3 linked regions of the Macaca fascicularis genome follow. The protein of the gene in region 1 interacts with the protein of each later gene in a pairwise test. Links are inferred from orthologs where the notes say so. Each region holds a gene or a part of one and is shown on either strand. Other genes may lie near its edges.

Region 1 (4,152 bases):
ACCGTGGTCTCGATCTCCTGACCTTGTGATCTGCCCGCCTCGGCCTCCCAAAGTGCTGGGATTACAGGCGTGAGCCACCGCGCCCGGCCATCCCCATTTTTTTTTAAACAAGGAAGCAGAACACAGAGACGTCCGGGGGTAACATGGGGACTAAGTGGTAGTCAGGATTCAAACCCAGGGCTCTGGTTCCAGTCTGTACTCTTAACTACTGCATAGTATGATTTTTTAAAGTCCTATTTCTAACACTTGCTTTTCAAAATGAAGATAAAACAAAGCAACCCCACCATGGAATCAGACCCTTCAGCTTGAAGAAAGATGCTCCACGAGTTTGGCCTGCTATGTCTCCACCTGCCAGCCCTCATCTGCACATCAGAACGTTTCTCAACTTTTGCCATCCAGCCATAGGTTCACAATTAGTTAAATATTAATCATGACAAACAGAGACTCCTTTTTGTAGCCCCTTGATTCCAGTTTTGCTTTCTCTCCAGTGTTCAGACATCGTTAGTATTAAACCAACTATGTGGGGGGCCATGAGAGCCCAGGAAAGTAAAAACACCTCACCAAGTCACGCACAAAGTCAGAGGTACTGCCTGGGGGCCTGAGTCTTCCTGCCACTAGAAATGATGTATGACTTTATCAAAGGAGAACGACAATTCTGATGTGACATGATGATCAATTCATTTAATCATGGAGTATCTCACACAGGCACATACAAATACACACAAAGGTACCATTATCACCAAACCAGAAAAAGAAAATCACAAAACTATGTGCAAAATCTTCAACAAGTGATATAGTCCCCCAAAGTCTAACTACAAACTAGAATGCCAATGAAGCAGATTTCCTGGGATTCCAGCTATGATAAAACTCATTTCACTGAGGCTCCCGGCTCTCTGCCTGTGTGTAGGGGTTGTTGGATGCAGTAAGGGAATCTTGAAAGTGCAAAAGCTGCCGACACACCCAAGGGTAAGTTGCACTCGATTCTACTGCAGTCAAAGGCATTTACCAAAGGACAGCAGCCCCTCTACCCACAACATGTACCTCTACAAACCTTTGCTCCTTCCTTCTTAATTAGCACCTGAACTGGGAGTTCTGGTGGAGGAAAGAGCACCACCCACTTGCCCTTCCAATCTTTCCCTTCCAGTTGATCCAGGCTTAGAGTCTGAGCTCTATTTCCCTGCAGCCAGCTGCAGCGGGTGGCACACTGAACATCCTCGGCTGCAGACTGCAGGCAGAAAAAAGGTAGGCTTTTCCTGATGTGGAAATCGCTGCTGCTGTCCAACGCTACCGTTGGATGGGAGATGTAAGGCTGCTGTCATGGGGGAAGGGCCTTTGCTGAAAGATGCAAACCACAATCCATTTCCAGAGATGCTTGTTAGAGGCTGTGCCATTGTCTGTGCTTTGGGCTTCAGTTATTTGAAATATCATGTAAACACATGAACACATGGCTGTGGATATCCTCTGCTAAACACGCAAGAGCAAATGCCGGGGAGGGGGTGGACGGTGGACACCTATTAAAGGCATACGCACCCCTAACTGTAGGAGGAGAAAAATAATAAACCCCCAAGAAAAATGAAGATTAGCTCAGAAAATGTATACACTGGGGGCCCAGTGTTTTCTGGCTTTGAGAAGAGCCTGGCTCAGGAGGTGACTGGAGGGGCCTGAGAGCTGTGGAGATGAAGGGACCCTGTCAGGAGTTGAGTAATGTTAGAGCATGACGACTAGGGCAGGAACCCAGGAGGAGGAAGGGGAGGAGGCAGGGCACAGCCAAACATTGGAGCAGAGTCCAAAGGTTTGAGGGGCCAGAGGCGAAAGGCAGGAGGGGGCACGGGTTCAGGGTGACTTCAGGCTCTCTTCAGTCTCACAGCCTGCCTTTATCCGGAGCCTAACAAGGTCTCCTCCCTGTCCCAATAGGTACCCCTGGAGGAGAGGTCTGAGCCTGGAGGAGAGGTCTAGCGTTTTGTCAGTAACCCTAATAAGCAAGGGTCAAATGGTCATCTAACAGCAGTCTCACAACCCACTCCCAAGAACTCACAACGAAACCATGAGGGTGCACAGGGAGATGACAGAATGACCTTGTCGCTGAGGCCATCACCCACCCACCCCCCACAACCTGCGTGTGTGTGTGTGTGTGTGTGTGTGTAGGGCCGAGGCATGCACCTGTCAGGAGACAGGTATCTGTTAACTACCGCATAACCATACCTAGGCAGTGGGCAGGCACTAAAGGATACAGGGCAGGGAGCTAAGGAGAAGACTGTCCCCAGGGGTTACCTCCTTATGGTCGGGGCTCCCCTGGAGCCTGAGAGTGTAATGGCCCCTCTCTCCCTGCCCCAGGGCCCTACCAGTCCTTCGCCCCCAGACTGCGGTCTCCCCGCGCGCCCCTCCCCTGCCTTCACACTTACTAGCGCAGCGCAGCGCCTGCCGCAGCACCTCTCGTCCACACAGGTCACACCAGCCGGGGCCGCCCGGCAGCACCAATTCCGCGAAGCAGTGCCCCTCGCCTCGCTCCGCCGGGACTCGGGGATCCTGCGGCTGCTCGAAGATGCTCCTCACGTCGCGGGGTCGGGGCGCTCCAGGCCGCCGCCGCAGTCTCTGCTGCAGACCAGGCCGGAGCGGGCGAGCGGGTCGGGAGGCCCGGGTTGGGGGCTCCAGGTTCCCCCGGGCAGCCCTCCGGGCGCTGCGCCCCTCGTGCGCCCCGGGCGCAGTGGAGAGGGGCGCCGGGACACAGCGGCGGGAGGACCGGTCGGGGGGCGGCGGCGGCGGCTCGGGGCCGCTCAGGCTCTGTAGATAGTGAGGCGGCTCGGGGTCCAAGAGTATCGGGTACGGGCGCTGCCCGATGGCCGAGGACGCCATGGCCATGCCCGGCTAGTGGCTGTGGCTTTGGCAGCGGCGGCTTTGGCGACTGCGCTACTCCCGAGGCAGCCCCGAGAGAAGGGGCGGCCCCACATCAGCGCGCCTTTAAAGGGACCGCAGCCTGCTGGGCGGGGCGGGGGCGGGGAGAGTCGGAGTGGCAGGAAGAACTACCCAAGGGAACCACCGACGGACCGAGGGGTAGGGTCGGTGCGGGGTGACGTCTGCTCGAGTGTGGATTTGGGGGCGTCACCTGGAGCAGCTGCAGGATTCCGCAGAGGAGCGCCTCTGTACAGTACAGTTCAGAGGGCGCATTTCTGCGAGGGACCCTCGGCCTTCAGCCCTGCCTCTTTCCCTTGCCGATCACTTCCCCCAACACCAGGTCCACCCGCCACCCGCACCCTCACGCGCCCCGGGAGGGAGCAGGTCGGAGGGAAAGGCTTGGGAACTGGCTTGATGGGGTCTCAGTAGGGCCCCTCAGTCTAGGCGTCCGCCCGCCACCCTCCCGCTGATCGTGCGGACAGAAGGGCAGTGCTCCTTGGCCCTTTCTCTCTCCGGCTTGTCGCCGCCCTCCGCCCCCTCTACAGGCGAGCTCGACGCGGGTCGGGAATGCCCCGCTCGTGCTACGGCAGCCGCGCGTTGTCCCGTGGCTGACCGCCGGATGCAGCCAGCGCAGCTGGGGCTGGCAGAGCTGTCCGAGTGCGACTTTCGCTCTGGTTGGATTTCCCCTCCCTTTGCAGTCCTGCCGGGTAGGGTATTCCTCTTTCCTGGAAGACTGGTGCGGGGGAGGTAGGGGGACTCGATGCAGAGAACGCTCCCGCGCCCCAAGGGTTGGGGGAGCTTTTCTTCCTTAGCCAACCCTCCGCTCCCTAGAGCTGCTCGAGTAATTACTATGGAGATACCAGTTCCCCTAAATGCCCTACGTGGAACCTGGTATGGACGGCTCAGTCATGGGACCCAAAGAGAGATCTCCTTTCTCCCGGCACTTTCCCCAATGAAGGCTTGCTTCATGGACTCCTGTCTGGTTTAACGCTCTGCGGTCACCATCTTGAAAGTCTTACTTTTTGAACAAAGGGCCAGGCGTCTTCTTTTTGCACCGGTTCCCACAAATTATGTAGTTTTTCCTGACAGGCACCTTTGCCCATGGAAACAGGCCCATCTCATGGATAAGGAGGACTCCTGGATCTCTGAACCTGGGCCTGGGCCCTCTCCAGCCCCAATTTTGTTAACTGCACACTGGGCTGGAGGTAGCGAGACGGGTGGGTGTTAACGTGGTGTTTCCAGCTCCGTCATTATGACTCA
Region 2 (3,644 bases), on another chromosome or scaffold:
CCCTGTCTCCACAAAAAAAAATTAAAAAACAAAACAAAACATGAGCTTGGCATGATGGTACAAGTCTGTAGTCCCAGCTACTCAGGAGCCTGAAGTGACAGGATCACTAGAGCCCAGAAGGTAGAGCTATAACTGTAGTGAGCTATGACTGTGCCACTACACTCCAGCCCAGGTGACAGGGGACTCTTGTCTCTTAAAAATAAAAAGCTGTCACACTTAGGAGACATAAAAGAATAAAGATGGAAGAGAACCATGGAAAAGGGGAAATGTGACAGTCATCTCTCTAGTAGGAGAATGTACTGAAAAAGAGGCAGAAAAAAGATAGCATAAGAAACTAGCTCAGCTGCATTGTTCTAGAAGGTAAACCTACCGTTTTATTTCGTAATCGAATGATATCAGATACAGAACCAGCCCCACAGTACTCCATAACGATCCATAAGTCCGTGTTCTTAAAATAACTGCCATAATATTTGACTACATGAGGGCTAGAGAGAGAAAATACAAATTAATAAAATGGCCTTCAAACATCTCTTAATTCATGCTATTAAGTATAGAAAAATTAATTCCTCATCTGGAAAGATCAATTATTCATAGTTAAGGACAAAATGGGCAACCTCCTGATAAGAATGCAAAATGGTATAGCTTTTCCGGAGGGTAATAAATCACGGAAGTATAAAAAATCGGTGGCTCCTTTAACCAGCATTTCTATGTCTACAATTTACCCTCAAAAAAGAATTATAAATGTTCAAAAAGCAACAGTTACCATCATAGTACTATTGACAAAAGTAGAAATTTAGATAACATCTAAATGTCCATCCAACATTAGGGAATTTATTTAAGAACTAATGATACAGGGCCGGGTGCAGTAGCTCATGCCTGTAATTCCAACACTTTGGGAGGCCGAGGCGGCGGATTGCCTGAGCAAGATGGTGAAACCCCGTCTCTACTAAAATACAAAAAATTTGCCAGGCATGGCAGCGTGCACCTGTTGTCCCAGCTACTGGGGAGGCTGAGGCAGGAAAATTGTTTGAACCCGGGAGGTGGAGTTTGCAGTGAGCCGAAATGGTGCCACGGCACTCCAGCCTGGGCGACAGAGCAAGACTCCATCTCAAAAAAAAGAAAGAATGATATAGCCATATAATAAAATATCATGAATCCATGAAAAATGTTATAGAGGAGTATATGAGAAGACATCGTGTTTACAAAAACAAACAAACAAAAAAGCAGGCTACAAAACAGTAATTATTGTAAAACTCCAAAGAGATTTGGAAGAATATGTGTATCAAGGAGTATTTAAGAATGATGATTTCGGGCAGGCGCGGTGGCTCACGTCTGTAATCCCAGCACTTTGGGAGGCTAAGGCGGGCGGATCACGAGGTCAGGAGATGGAGACCATCCTGGCTAACACAGTGAAACCCCGTCTCTACTAAAAATACAAAAAATTAGCCAGGCATGGTGGCGGGGCCTGTAGTCCCAGCTACTTGGGAGGCTGAGGCAGGAGAATGGTGTGAACCCGGGAGACGGAGCTTGCAGTGAGTCGAGATCAGGCCACTGCACTCCAGCCTGGGCGACAAGAGTGAGGAGACTCCATCTCAAAAAAACAAACAAACAAAAAGAATGATGATTTCTCCAAAGGGAAAAGTGATTTTCTTTTCTTTTCATTTGAATTCTTCTAAGAAGTCATATGTACTTTGTAATAAAAACATACACACACTACAACCTATTATAAAGAAAAAATGTTCAGTATCAAACCTGGAATTTTAGGTCTCAAGCTGGAAGAGAGATACCAAACAAGAAATTTCAGAGAAAAATCAAATATCCTATTAAAATAAAATAATGTGCTCTTTGAGAACTGCCAGCTTTAACTGGCTAGATGGTTATCATGGTCAAATAAAGTTTCATAACAACTGATGCTAAAACCAAATTGGCTTCATTAACTCAGAACTCAGAATTTCCTCTTCAAACCTCGGGAAACATGCCAGTGACAAGGACAGCAAAACACACACACACACACAAAGTCACAAGGACAGCAAAACATACACACACACACACACACACACAAAATATTAATGAAAAAAGTGACTAAGGTAAATATTAACACATTTACTCTCTCTATAATACAGTACTGACGGGAGTTAAATACTGCAGGCCATTACTATCAAGTATTTACTACTGACATATGTTCTCTATAGTCTCGCATTGTTGGCTAGATTCTCCTCCCTACACATATATATATATGTGTGTGTGTGTGTGTGTATATATATATATATATACTTAGCCTGTCCAATTAGACTATAAGCTCCCAGAGCACAAGGGCTCTGCTCTGTATTTCACTGTATTCCTTACAGTGCTTAGCACAGGGTAGACTCTTATCTCTTCTTTAATTAAAGACATTTCCATACTCTGTTTGGAACACAGCTCCTACACAGTCTATCGAAAGTGACTAAGTCCCAATTTGCCAAATGGAAAGAACTTCCAAAATGTATCTGAAAAAGGAGCAAATGGAAAACTGCCACCTTCATCTGGTCAATCCAATCAAGAAAAATGGGGATTTTATCTAGTAGACAATAATCACAAAAATAGAAGGAAAAAAAAAAGGAGGGAGAGAGAAAAGAAAGGACTACATTCCCAAGTCTGTGAGACCGAAAGGCTTCTGGACTAATTTTCTAGTAGGTAACCCCACCTAAACCCTAATGTAGAAGTTTTGCAAACAGGGGGTACTAAGTTGATCTGCTGACCAAAAAGCCTTCAGAAGAATGAATGCAGCTTCAACTGAGAGAATTTCTCACCCATCTTCAACTAACTAGAACTGGCATTGCCCCTAACTTTGTGTTTGTCTCTAATCTAAATAGTGCTGGGGAAGCCTGCTCTATCAGTGACCAACCCGTGTTGTCATGGAATTTCAGAGCAAACCACGTGGTTTTCTGTGGTCGTCTTTTGGTCTGACTTCCTGCTTACAACATTTGACAAATCTTAGTTCCTCAAAAATAAATACTTAAGTACTCTCAGCTGGAATAATTTTTTTTAATGTGAAGGAACAGACAGTAGTATATACATAACTACTCTTTTTTTATAGATTTACCTGGTATTCTAAGGTTTCTAGAACTAAAAAACATTTGAATTATCTGTTCTTAGCTATCTCTGCAGAAATGTTTTCTCAATAGGAAGTAAAAAAGATCATTATCACAAAAAAAAAAAAAACAAAAAAAACAAGCACCACCTTCTGCCTCTTCTTCCTAGTGTCTAAAAGGGCTCACTGAAAAAAAGAAAAAAACCAGGCCTGGTAGCTCACTCCTGTAACCCCAGTACTTTGGGATATGGCCAAGGCAGGCGGATCATTTACGGCCAGGAGTTTGAGACCAGCCTGACCAATATGGTGAAACTCTGTCTCTACCAAAAATACAAAATTAGCTGGGCGTAGTGGCACATGCCTGTAGTCCCAGCTACTCGGGAGGCTAAGGCACAAGCATCGCTTGATCCTGGGAGGTGGAGGTTGTAGTGAGCCAAGATTGCGCCACTGCACCCCAGCCTGGGCAACGGAGTGAGACTTCGTCTCGAAACAAAAAAAAAAAAACTGAAAAAAAACAAAAAAACAAATGCCATGCATAAAAATTATGGAAGTTTGGCTACAAAAACAACCATTT
Region 3 (4,203 bases), on another chromosome or scaffold:
TCACAAATCAGCTTTAAATAATCATTTTTAAAAGCCTATTCTGATTAATACAGACAGCTAAAACATCCTGAAGCATGCAATCACTTGAATATTTTGCAAGATATTTTCAGGAGTACCAAGAATTCAATATACCATCTTCATTCAGAAACAAAATTAAACATCTGCCTCAACCTTTAAAGCTCGATTACAAGGCAAAGTGGAGATTTCAAATTCAAATGAATAGTTTTTCAAAATGAGTTTTTATCACTCCTTGGGTAAAACAAACAAGCAAATGTCATGTAAAAAACTGTTAAAGGATAACGCTCCTTCATCATTACTTAAAATTTTTAGAATCACATTTTTCACATGCATGGCATATTTCTCAGCCAAAGAATTATGAAAAGCATTAGAACTTAGATCCAAAGTTTGCTATGTCTTTAAAGTAGCTGTTTTCCTTTTTAATTTTTTATATGCCACTGTAAGATTGAAGTCTCCTGCCTTTCAATAAATATTAAATATCAATTTCCTAGTTTGGCTCGTTCTTGAGAAAAGTATTAGAGTGAGTCCAGGGGAGAACATACTTTGTGTGAAAAATGAGACTACATGCTTCAGTTGTCTACCACTGCTGGTGGTGTTTTACAACGTAGAGAGATAAATTCAATCTAAACTCACCAATCCTGTGTAACGTATCTGTGGGTTGGAATTCAGTTACAGCAGCCTCAGAAGAGTTCATGAAATTACATTTTCAAGAAACTTAAAAACTTTAAAAATTCTGCATGAAGTCAAACAGAACTCTTGGCTGCACACTGTAATCTGACACTAGGCTGAAGAAACTGACCAAGTTTAAGTAACCCAAGAGGAACTGTTTCCTGCTTTCTGTTAGAACAGTCTGCAATGACCTATAGTAACACTGCTGAGGCAGAGGTTACTATCGGGCATTAGATGATGCTATCAGGAAGTCAGTCAGTCGGGTCAGGTGGTTTTTCTTTCTTTTTTTTTCTGGGGTAGCACTTATCTGAAGTGTTCCTAAGAATTCAACTCTGCTCACCCATCAAGTTTGTAAAGACAAGAAAAACTAAAAAATGAATTGGAAAATGCACTCGGACCAAGTAGGTAGCTCCCTCTTCACCTCAACAAAAGGACTGGCATGGAAAACGTAAGTTAAGATGGAACTCCGCATCAAAACAAACTTGCCTGTGAGTATCTCTGGGAAGGTGCGGCGGCCCTTCTAAAGGGAACCAAAGGTCTATTTGACAGTGGTTTATTTTAGCTCACTTTACCTAGTCTGCTCCTGTAAGATGAGATGAGGCTCCACGAAGAACTTGACTCTCAGTTTAAGCCTGTAAGGGGCTAGCCCATCCATCTGCTGGGAGATCCGGTTCCTCAGGTTTAGCCATAAACTTTCACCTTTGCTACCCGTAAACTGCAGTCCAAAATAATCAACTTCTATGATTCCCAGTCGCCTGCACACCTAAAACAAAAAGGAATGCAGCCTGGATGAGCAAATGGTACATGTCAAAGCAAACCCAACGACTCCCGGAGGCCGACTGCTGGTACTTTTTACAAAGTTCAGTAGTGTTACAATTCCTGATCTAAACTGGAAAAACAAAGTTCTACGGCTCCAACGACACCAAACTACGACCTATAGTATGGAGACTCATAATTCCTTTTAACATCTAGGGCATGACCAATTGCAATAGAGAAAAAAAGAGTCCTCAAAAGTAGCCTTCCAAAAGATGAGGAGGGAAAACTACAGGGTATTTTCCGTCTCATTCCAATGACCGGAATTCCCTCCACCAGCATACTCTGCACAGCTGATTTTTGGCGACTTATTATCTGGGCAATTTTAACCATCTGGACTCCAAAAATCAAACACATTGAGGCAACACGCCACAAGTGTCAGCTAAGCTTCACAAGCGGTTTCCCAAACATCTCAGAGCTAGAGGGGTTGAGGGTATAGCGTTTTCCTGGGATCACATTTGCTGTCTGCCATACCACCTATGCGCTATTTGGCACCGATCTCCCTCATTCTTAAGGAACCACATGCTTAAAAACAACCGAGCAGTAGATGACCCAAACCTATTCCTCCCGTCCCCCGCAAACCCGGAGATGCAGGTGAACGGTGCATTTGAGAGCAGCAGCCTGAGAAGCAGCGTGAGACAAGGGCCCGGCTTATCTGCCAAGAACCCCTGGGGCCCGAGACTGCTTCGAGTCACTCCATTCCATCCTGGCACGCGGGTGGCACTGCCAGGCGCCGCGGGGACCCGACAGGCGGTATCACGCACATACCTGCCGCAGGTGTGCGGAGCCGCCTTCTTCCGGGAAAGTGCTGGACTGGGGGGATGATGGGGGGCTGGGGGGTGGATCCTGGCTGCGGGCTGCGCCAGGCCCTCAGCGCTGGGGACCCCCGCTGCACGCTTTCTCCGCGCACCCCACGCACGCCAGGAGGAGACCGCGCGCCCCACGCCCGTGGAGAGGAGGGGACGCGCTCCTCCCCGGCTGCAGCCGCAGTGCCTCCCGGCCCCTAGTAGGCGGCGCGCCAGGGTGCCAGGCTTCGCTGCGAGGCCCCTCGGTCTCGCAGGACCCTCCGGGGCCCCCTCTTGCCCCTCGCCCTCACCTGGTTGAGGCAGTCCTCGCCGTTGGCTTTCGCCTCCACCTCCACCTCCATCAGCACCGCGTCCGGCCTCGTCACATAACACAGCATGGCTGGGGCTGCCGCTGCCGCTGCCGCCACAGCCGCCTTCTCTTTGGTGTGCGCAGGGCTGCCGCCTTGTCACGGCTGGGACCCAGCCCCGGACTCGGAGAGGGCTGGCCCTCGAAGGCTGCAGCTCTGCGGACCCTTGTCCTGCGCCCCGCGGCCGCCACTCGCGTCCCCGCCACCCCCTCACCCGCTGCCCGCCAGCTCCCCCTGTCCTCCGCGGTGGCGCCGCACTCCAGCAGCTCAACTGCCTGCGCCGCGACAGGGACTCTTCTGATATAACGGCCCCGCCCCCTTCAGCTCGGGTCCCCGCCAATCACGGTCTCCCCGCCCCTCCTCCCCCGCCCGGTCAGCCAATAGCGGCGCCCCTCGACCGCGGCCCCCGCCTCCCAGCGCCGGCTGAGTTCCCCCGGCCGCCCCGGGAGGTGGCAGCTTGCGCGCGCCAAGTGCTGCGGGAAGGGAAGGAGGCACGGGAGCACACCCGCCGCCTCTGCCCGCTGGGCGACGCTGCTCGGAGTGAGCGATCGCCCGGGGCTCCAGGCGGGGACGCCTTTCTGCCATCTCGAATTTACGGTGATTAAACACCTGCAAGCTGCCACTGTTCTTCAGATATCTTGGATCACTCCGAGCACGCATTTCGGTTGTGAAAGCAAAAAGGAAAAGGAGCAACCCAAAGCCTAAAGGAAACTGTTTTCGGCCGGGCATGGTGGCTCATGCCAGCACTTTGGGAGGCCGAGGTAGGCGGATCACCTGAGGTCAGGAGTTCGAGACCAGCCTGGCCAAAATGGTGAAACCCTGTCTCTACTAAAAAAAAAAAAAAAAAAAAAAAAAAGGCCAGGCGTGGTGGCAGGCACCTGTAATCCCAGCTACCTGGGAGGCTGAGGCAGGAGAATCGCTTGAACCCAGGAGGCGGAGGTTGTAGTGAGCTGAGCTGAGATTGTGTCACTGCACTCTATCCTGGGCAACAAGAGCAAAAAACTCTGTCTCAAAGAAAAAAAAAGAAAGGAAAAAGACTGTTTTCCACCAGGCTTAGCCACAGTGGGTTGCTGGGAGGCATAATCGTTGTTCCTTATTAAGACCTCATCATTGAGAAAAACAGTCTGAGTATGAAAGTTTTTGCAGTTGACCAGTGAGCCAGGTGTCTTGGTCTAGTGCTGGTGTGTTACCCTCCAGAAGGGCTTCTCCTTACTCGTTCTGCTGAATCAAAACGCCTTACAGGGCACCAGGCCTTCTCTCAGGTTGCTCATTCTATCTCCTGCCTTATCTCACTCATTCATTAAACATTCATTCAGCATCTGATACCCTGCCTGTCCCTTCTCCCAGGCAACCAGATGTTGTCCTTGTCTTAAGGTAAGATGCCCATCTCCTGACCTAACAGGTGGCATTACTGCAATAGTAGCTATTAAAGGTCTACAACTATTCACTCATTTACCGCTTGTTCCTCTTTGCCAATACATTACATAGGCTACCTTTTTTATTTCTTTACAGAAGCCAGATGATGTGGGTTTCAGCCATGGAAACTTAGA

Evidence for each region.
Region 2: the proteins of RASSF5 (region 1) and STK4 interact in binary tests that used the Homo sapiens proteins (3 or more experiments, as listed by UniProt). The link is inferred for Macaca fascicularis from reciprocal best matches to the Homo sapiens genes RASSF5 and STK4.
Region 3: the proteins of RASSF5 (region 1) and MYLIP interact in binary tests that used the Homo sapiens proteins (3 or more experiments, as listed by UniProt). The two-hybrid records come from large-scale screens. The link is inferred for Macaca fascicularis from reciprocal best matches to the Homo sapiens genes RASSF5 and MYLIP.

What each region holds. Positions count from the first base shown.
Region 1 is NC_088375.1:64,329,687-64,333,838, reverse strand, and holds the start of RASSF5 (ras association domain-containing protein 5), read right to left. Parts: upstream 2,935-4,152; 5' UTR 2,860-2,934; coding exon 2,403-2,859; intron 1-2,402. UniProt on the Homo sapiens protein: Potential tumor suppressor. Seems to be involved in lymphocyte adhesion by linking RAP1A activation upon T-cell receptor or chemokine stimulation to integrin activation.
Region 2 is NC_088384.1:101,076,287-101,079,930, reverse strand, and holds part of STK4 (serine/threonine-protein kinase 4), read right to left. Parts: intron 486-3,644; coding exon 371-485; intron 1-370. UniProt on the Homo sapiens protein: Stress-activated, pro-apoptotic kinase which, following caspase-cleavage, enters the nucleus and induces chromatin condensation followed by internucleosomal DNA fragmentation.
Region 3 is NC_088378.1:156,812,275-156,816,477, forward strand, and holds the start of MYLIP (E3 ubiquitin-protein ligase MYLIP), read right to left. Parts: upstream 2,927-4,203; 5' UTR 2,684-2,926; coding exon 2,597-2,683; intron 1,451-2,596; coding exon 1,260-1,450; intron 1-1,259. UniProt on the Homo sapiens protein: E3 ubiquitin-protein ligase that mediates ubiquitination and subsequent proteasomal degradation of myosin regulatory light chain (MRLC), LDLR, VLDLR and LRP8. Activity depends on E2 enzymes of the UBE2D family.